Ovis aries: one gene and its partner. The protein of the gene in region 2 purifies or fractionates together with the protein of the main gene of each other region. This does not show direct contact. Links are inferred from orthologs where the notes say so. Each region holds a gene or a part of one and is shown on either strand. Other genes may lie near its edges.

Region 1 (4,203 bases), on a different chromosome or scaffold from region 2:
CCATCCCACCCTCGGCCAGCCTGCTCACCTGGTCAGCATAGGGCTGCGGTGGTTGGGGTTGGAGCAGAAGATGTTGTTGGACTTGCGGGTGCCGTCCAGAAACTCCCGCACCGACTGGCTGCGGAGCTCCGCCAGCGGCCGGGCCTCGTGCTTGAGGAACCACTGGTGCGCCTCGAAGCACTTGGCGCAGATGAGCTGCTCACACTCGAAGCACCAGTAGTGGGCCAGCTCTTTGCAGCGGGTGCAAAACGCCTGCTCGCGTGCGATCTGCTGGTACACCGACAGCCGCCGCTGCAGGCTCTCGAAGAAGACGTTGTCCAGGGCCTGCGCGCCGGCACCTGAGGGCCAGGGAGCCTGGCAGACGGGGCACTGTATGCCGGACTCCTCCAGGCATCCTGAGCACAGCGTATGCAGACAAGGCAGCAGCTTGGGGCACTTAGCTTCTGCCCGGCAGCCCTGGCAGCGCAAGAACTGGAACTCTTCCTCCGTGGCTTGCTGGGGAATCAGGGAGGGAGGTGAGACGTGAAGTCCCAGGAAGCCCCACCCAACCGGACACCCACCCTGTGGCTGCACGCTGAGAGTGGCACTTCCTGTTTCATACCAAGCTGTCAACGGATGACACAAAAACCCAGCCTTATCAGTATCCCAGTCCTCCATTGACTTAGGCCTTCTCACGCTCACTCCATGATTTACTGAGCATCCGTTTCTCATAAGACACAGTACCAGGCCCCAAGATACACGGATGTATAGCAGCAGTCCCCAACCCTTTGGGGACTAGGTTACCGTTTCCTGAAAGACAGTTTTTCTATGGGTGGGGTGATGTAGGGATGATTTAAATGCATTATATTTATTGTGCACTTTATTTCTGTTTCCACTGTGAAAATTCGGTAGTGCAAGTGATGAGAGCGGCTGTAAATACAGATGACGTTTTGCTCTCTTGCTGGCTGCTTGCCACTGTAAGCCCGGTTCCTAATAGGCCAGGGCAAGTGACAGTCCGTGGCCTGGAACTTGGGGACCCCTGATTCCAGGACAAACCCCTGCCTTCACAGGACTTTAAAAAAGGAGATTCATTAAATGTGTGTCATATAACCTCACAAAAAATGCTTACTGCACTTTGATGGTTCCTCAAAAACTTAAACATAGAACTACCATAGGACCCAGCAATTCTACACCCAGCTATATACCCAAAAGAACAGAAAACAGGATCCAGATGCTTGTACATCCATTATTCTGTACACAGCATTAGTCACAGTAGCCAAGGAGTGGAAACAACTGAAGTGTCCATCAACAAATGAATGGATAAACAAAATGTAGTATATACATACAATGGAATGTTATTTGGCCTTAAAAAGGACATTCTGATACATGCTACAACATGAAAATACCTTGAAGACATCATGTTAAGTAAAACCAGCCAAACACAGAGACAAATACTGTAGCATTCCACTTATATAAAATATCTAGACTAGGCAAATGCAGAGACAGAAAGTAGATTAGAGGTTACCAGCAGCTAGGGGGAAGAGGGAGAAGGCAATGGCACCCCACTCCAGTACTCTTGCCTGGAAAATTCCATGGACGGAGGAGCCTGGTAGGCTGCAGTCTATGGGGCCACTAAGAGTAGGACACGACCGAGCGACTTCACTTTCACTTTTCTCTTTCATGCATTGGAGAAGGAAATGGCAACCCACTCCAGTGTTCTTGCCTGGAGAATCCCAGGGACAGGGGAGCCTGGTGGGCTGCCATCTATGGGGTCACAGAGTCGGACATGACTGAAGCGACTTAGCAGCAGCAGCCAGGGGGAAGAGGAGAATGAGCAGCTTAAAGGGTACAGATTTTTGTTTCAATGAAAAAATTCTGAAAATTGACTGTGGTGATGGTTACATTGTGGAATGCATTTAATGCCACTGAATTGTACACCTAGAAACAGATAAAACATAGGTAACATAATACAGTACCTGGCACGTGAGAAATACTCGAACATGTTAACTAGTATGGTAAATATTATTCCTAGGTGTTATAATGCAACAAATAAAAGTTAATGCAATATTATTTGTACTTTCATGAAGGAGAGTAAAAAGGGGCTGGAAGAAAACAGAGCAAGTGATCTAAGCACTTCCTTTGGGGGTGGGGAGTTTGTGCAGGAAAAGACCAGTAAACCCTTAAAAAACTCCTCAGGATGGGGGTTGAGGGAGCACGGTGCTCCAGGAAAAGGATCCAAGTAGCTTCCTAGAGGAGACACCACAGGAATCCTGGGCCTTAGCCAAGACACCTCTTTCCCACTTTCTGATCTGAGGACAAAGATTCTGGCTTGTCCACACCTGGAGCTTGTCCGGGTCTGCCAGGCGGGTGCGATAAGACTATTACTTCCATTTTCCTTAACAGGTGGTCCTTCATCTGAGGTAGGGGATAAGAGGCATGTCGCCAGCTTGGGCGGAAGAGACTTGGGCGGAAGAGTCTGGTCCGGGGTGCCACTCACTCTTAGCATCACCCCGCTGCTCGTGGAGAATCGCAACCCAGAGAGACCTCTCCCCTCAAACTCATGCTGGCCCCCTTTTCTACTTTCCACGACCCCTAACCCAGCCGAGAAGATCAGGACCCTCGCACCTGGTCTCCCTTCTTTACGTCATTTTTCAAGGTACTTGGTCAAGTTCCCCAGTCCCTCTATTCCACCGACCATACGTAATTAACAAAGCCCCAACCCCATCTCCCAAACGCAGTAGTACCTCTGTGGGGCTGTCGCTATGGCTGGACTGGTGGCCTTCGGAGAGTGCCTCCGGGGGAGGCATGCTGGGGGAGTGGGGCAGTGCGGGGTCCTGCTGGGGCCCCGGAGATCCGGCAGGTTCCGGATCCTGCTGCATGGAATCCAGCGCAGTTTCGATTCTCAGTTTCGCTCTTCGAGAGCGGAGAAACTGAACCCGAGGAAGGCGCCAGAACACTGAGCTCCCGAGCAGCCCTAAAGGGGAGGTGCCAGCTCAGGGCCCACCTCCCAGAGGAAGTGAAACACTAGCTACCGGCGGTTCTAGGGTCGGAGAGGCTGGCCCACGGTCCTGAAGACACGCCCAGAGCGGCGAGGAGGGAGAGAAGAGCAGTCACACGCAGGACAGCGGCAGAACTGATGTTTGTGCAGAATGGAGGCCGTCCCTGCCCTCGGCTTGGAATCTTTCATTCAGCTCACATTGGCACAGCTTCGTGCCAGCCCTCAGCTGGGAGCAAGAGCCACACAGCCGGGCCACGCGTGGCTCCTACTTTGGGAAAAAAAGGGAAAGTGTTAGTCTTCTAGTCGTGTCCGACTCTTTGGGACCCCATGGACTGTCGTCTTCTAGGCTCCTCTGTCCATGGGATTCTCCAGGCAAGAATACTGGAGTGGGTAGCCATTCCCTTCTAAAGGGGATCTTCCCTACCCAGGGATGGAACCCAGGTCTCCTGCACTGCAAGCAGATTCTTTAGCGTCTGAACCACCCCAGATCTAATGCAGGAGCAGTCCCCCAAAGGGAGATTTTCACAGTGTTGAGACTGGCTGGACAGGAGATCACTCAGCTGGGATTTGAAGTGATGGTGGGAATTTGCCAGGGATTCAGAGGCTGGGGATGGGTGGGCAACACTTAAGACCGAGAGAACAGCATATGCAAAGCCATGGAGGTTTGAAACAGAAGCTGTTTCGAAACTAGTTTTGAAACAAGCAACTCATTTTGGTTATTTTCAGATTCAAGAGGGGACCCATGCATGATGTCAGACCAAGATGGGCTGGGCAAGATGAGGCTAAGGAGATGGACCAGGGCTATGGACCACAGAGAGTTGGTGAAGGGTTTGAAAACAAGCAACCATGTCCATTGTGTATATTGGGACAGTCTCTCTGACAACCTAGGGCCAGGTGGTCTGGGACAGTGGCTGTGGGATGAGAGGAGGGACCCGAGTCAGACTGGGAGGACGCTGAGTGGAGATGACGGCATCAGGATGATGCCTGATGTGACAGCAGAAAGGGCTGGTGGATCTGAGGCAGTAGGGAATGGGGAGAGCTGGTGGGCAGGTATGAGAAAAATGAGGAGACAGCAACTTAGCAATGGGTCAAAGGAGAAGCCCCAGCTCTCAGCTGGTGAGGGGAGAAGGCACAGCTCCAGGTGGCATCACTGGGCCAGTGCCCCTGTCTTCAAACCTCAGTGCATTCCATTCATTGTGATGACTCCCATGGACCCATTTTGTGTT
Region 2 (3,646 bases):
CCAGTCCCCTATAATGAAAAGGACATCTTTTTTGGGTGTTAGTTCTAAAAGGTCTTGGAGGTCTTCATACGCTTGTTCAACTTCACCTTCTTCAGTGTTACTGGCTGGGGCACAGACTTGGATTACTGTGATATTGAATGGTTTGCCTTGGAAACGAACAGAGATCATTCTGTCATTTTGAGATTGCATCCAAGTACTGCATTTCGGACTCTTGTTGACCATGATGGCTACTCCATTTCTTCTAAGGGATTCCTGCCCATAGTAGTAGATATAATGGTCATCTGAGTTAAATTCACCCATTCCAGTCCATTTCAGGAGGCAACAGTTAGAACTAGACATGGAACAACAGACTGGTTCCAAATAGGAAAAGGAGGATGTCAAGGCTGTATACTGTCACCCTGCTTACTTAACTTATATGCAGAGTACATCATGAGAAACGCTGGACTGGAAGAAACACAAGCTGGAATCTAGATTGCCAGGAGAAAGATCAATAACCTCAGATATGTAGATGACACCACCCTTATGGCAGGAAGTGAAGAGGAACTAAAAGCCTCTTGATGAAAGTGAAAGAGGAGAGTGAAAAAGTTGACTTAAAGCTCAACATTCAGAAAACGAAGATCATGGCATCTGGTCCCATCACTTCATGGGAAATAGATGGGGAAACAGTGTCAGACTTTATTATTTGGGGCTCCAAAACCACTGCAGATGGCGACTGCCGCCATGATATTAAAAAACGCTTACTCCTTGGAAGAAAAGTTATGACCAACCTAGATAACATATTCAAAAGCAGAGACATTACTTTGCCAACAAAGGTCCATCTAGTCAAAGCTATGGTTTCTCCAGTGGTCATGTATGGATGTGAGAGTTGGACTGTGAAGAAAGCTGAGCGCCGAAGAATTGATGCTTTTGAACTGTGGTGTTGGAGAAGACTCTTGAGAGTCCCTTGGACTGCAAGGAGATCCAACCAGTCCATTCTGAAGGAGATCAGCCCTGGGTGTTCTTTGGAAGGAATGATGCTAAAGCTGAAACTCCAGTAGTTTGGTCACATCATCCGAAGAGTTGACTCATTGGAAACGACTCTGATGCTGGGAGGGATTGGGGGCAGGAGGAGAAGGGGACGACAGAGGATGAGATGGCTGGGTGGCATCACCGACTCGATGGACATGAGTCTGAGTGAACTCCAGGAGTTGGTGATGGACAAGGAGGCCTGGCGTGCTGTGATTCATGGGGTCGCAAAGAGTTGGACATGACTGAGTGACTGAACTGAACTGAAGAGTCATTTAAATACTAAAAACTGGAATTGAACTCAATAGAGAATTAACAAAATCAAACATATACTCTTGATATGGTCAAAAGTTAAAAGATCTACTGTTTATTTAAAGGAGTGGGAGGAAGGGAAAGTGTCCAAAGCTAGACCTATCCTGCAATCCCAGGTTACAATTAAATGTACCATCCTCAACAGTAAAGATTGCACACTATGTTCTTTTTCATACATTTTTAATATATTTAAAATTATGAGAGACAAATAGCTGTTTGAAACTAATTTGACTATTATCATGTCTTAAACTTTTATGTGAGCCAGAAAGAAAGATATTCTAATATACAGCTGATAGCCATTTAAATTGGTAAAACCTTTCCAGAAGGCAGCATGACAAACTATTTCCACAACTTAAAAATGCTCTCACAAGTTCACATACACATATACACATCAATGACCTACCAACAAATATATGTAAATACATACAAGGGGAAATGGTCTTGGGAGACATTAGAATTTTTCAAAACTGAGTATTAAGAAACATACTTTTTTCAAAATCACTATAAACCAGAACCTTTTTATAACCAATGATCTTTGTACAGATGGAAGCAGTGACACTCTGTGATCCAGTAACTTTACTTCTAGGAGTAAATGCTAAGAAATCATCAGAAATTTGAGGGGAAAAAAGTTCATCATATACCAACAACAGCAAAAAAGGAAAATGGTGTAAAAGCCAAATATGGCGACTGGTATAACAAAATCCAATGTGCAGTCATTACAACTTCCGTGTATAAACAATTTTAGTGTTATGAAAAAATACAGAGCCACATTACATGGAGGGAAAACAAGAAGGAACATTATGAAGAAGTGCACTCAAACAAGTTAAGAAATACAAAGGAGAAAGAATGAGAACCAGCCACTCAAACCATTATCAACAGTGGTAGGTAACCTTCAGTTAATCACCTCATATGGGTTTCTCCCCCCTATTTTTTAATTATGGATTTTCCAAATATTCTTCAGTAATTAGACATTACTATCATAACCGAAAAGAATAAGTAAGAAAAACAACTAGCATTTCACAAAACATTCTACACAGCCTCGGTTTCAGTCATTTCTTATTATTCCCCACAATCCTAGGCTGATAAAGTTGCTAACGAGCTTAAAATGATGAAGCCTAAGAAGAGAAGGTACACGAGAGACAGGCAGGCCTCACATGGTCAGGAAAAGCCACAGAACTCTTCTCACAGCTTCCACAGAGTAAAGCTGCCTGCAGAAAGTATTTTCAAATAGTCAAGAAATTTACCAATCTTTACATATTAAAAAAAAATTAGTGCTAAAAAGTAAAAATTAAAATCAGACAGGCAGTCAAAATTAAACACAAATCTAAATGCAACTATACATTATATTGTTCCTCACATGTACTAAGTATCTTTTCATTCTCTATTTGCACATTAAAACCATACCATTAAAAACACAAGAGCATAAAATGAGTACATGACAAACAGGATGCCAAATTATTAGATTTGAGCATAGTAAATATAAAGAGTATTTTGTTCTGATTAATTTTCTAATACTCTACAGAGAAATATTACATACATAGTTTACATCTCTTATTAGTTAAAATTTGAAACTTCAAAGTCAATAGAATTAACACACCTTACATGAGTAAACTAACCAAAGTAGCACCAATTAGGACAATGAAAGAAGAACCTGCCTGTAAACAACCCCTAAAGGGGGAGTGGGAGAGGACCCTCACTGCTTACCAGGGTTGTGATGAGCTGCAGACTCTCCATTCTGAAATGCATCTCCTGCCACATTCATTCTACCAGGATTGAAAGGTCCTACTGCAGTCTTGGTCTGTGAAGTTAAAGACGGGGTGTATGTTTGCATATTAACACCAAAATTACTTGACTGCAGTCCATTAGAGACATCTCCCAAGCTGGCATTCTGCAGAGATGTTACGTGTGTGATCATCAGGTTCATGTCTCTCCCGTCAGTGTGTTCTAACTGGCCATCACTCACAGAGCCGACGCCTGTTTCTAAGGTCGTAACGTTAGCGATCTGAATCTCAGAGTCTGGTTCTGTGGTGATACCACTATTACCCATTCCTGCATTTACCTTACTTCTTGAAAAACTGGAAGGGGAGAAATCCACATCATTGTTTCTGTTTTTAGACTCAGATGGTCTCCGTTCAATAAAATTGGAGGAATTTTTCTCTTGCCCTTGATTTGTTTCCATATCCTCCTCATCATCAATGACGATCGTCTCACTTACACTCCCCTTCTGAGAAGCCAATTCTTTTGAGGAAGGAAGAATTTTGGAATCATTTCCTGGCATCTCTTCATTTTTTGATAATGTAAATGTTATGGTTCTTTGATCAGCCACCAC

What was found. Proteins that work in one complex are often made in the same cells at the same time.
Region 1: the proteins of ZMYM2 (region 2) and PML purify together in Homo sapiens (affinity purification with western blotting; 3 studies listed by BioGRID, with this or other methods). This does not show direct contact. The link is inferred for Ovis aries from reciprocal best matches to the Homo sapiens genes ZMYM2 and PML.

The regions. Positions count from the first base shown.
Region 1 is NC_056071.1:32,280,433-32,284,635, forward strand, and holds the start of PML (protein PML), read right to left. Parts: upstream 2,938-4,203; 5' UTR 2,859-2,937; coding exon 2,724-2,858; intron 496-2,723; coding exon 29-495; intron 1-28.
Region 2 is NC_056063.1:36,407,883-36,411,528, forward strand, and holds part of ZMYM2 (zinc finger MYM-type protein 2), read right to left. Parts: coding exon 3,022-3,646; intron 2,526-3,021; coding exon of another isoform or gene 2,500-2,525; exon of another isoform or gene 1-2,499. UniProt on the Homo sapiens protein: Involved in the negative regulation of transcription.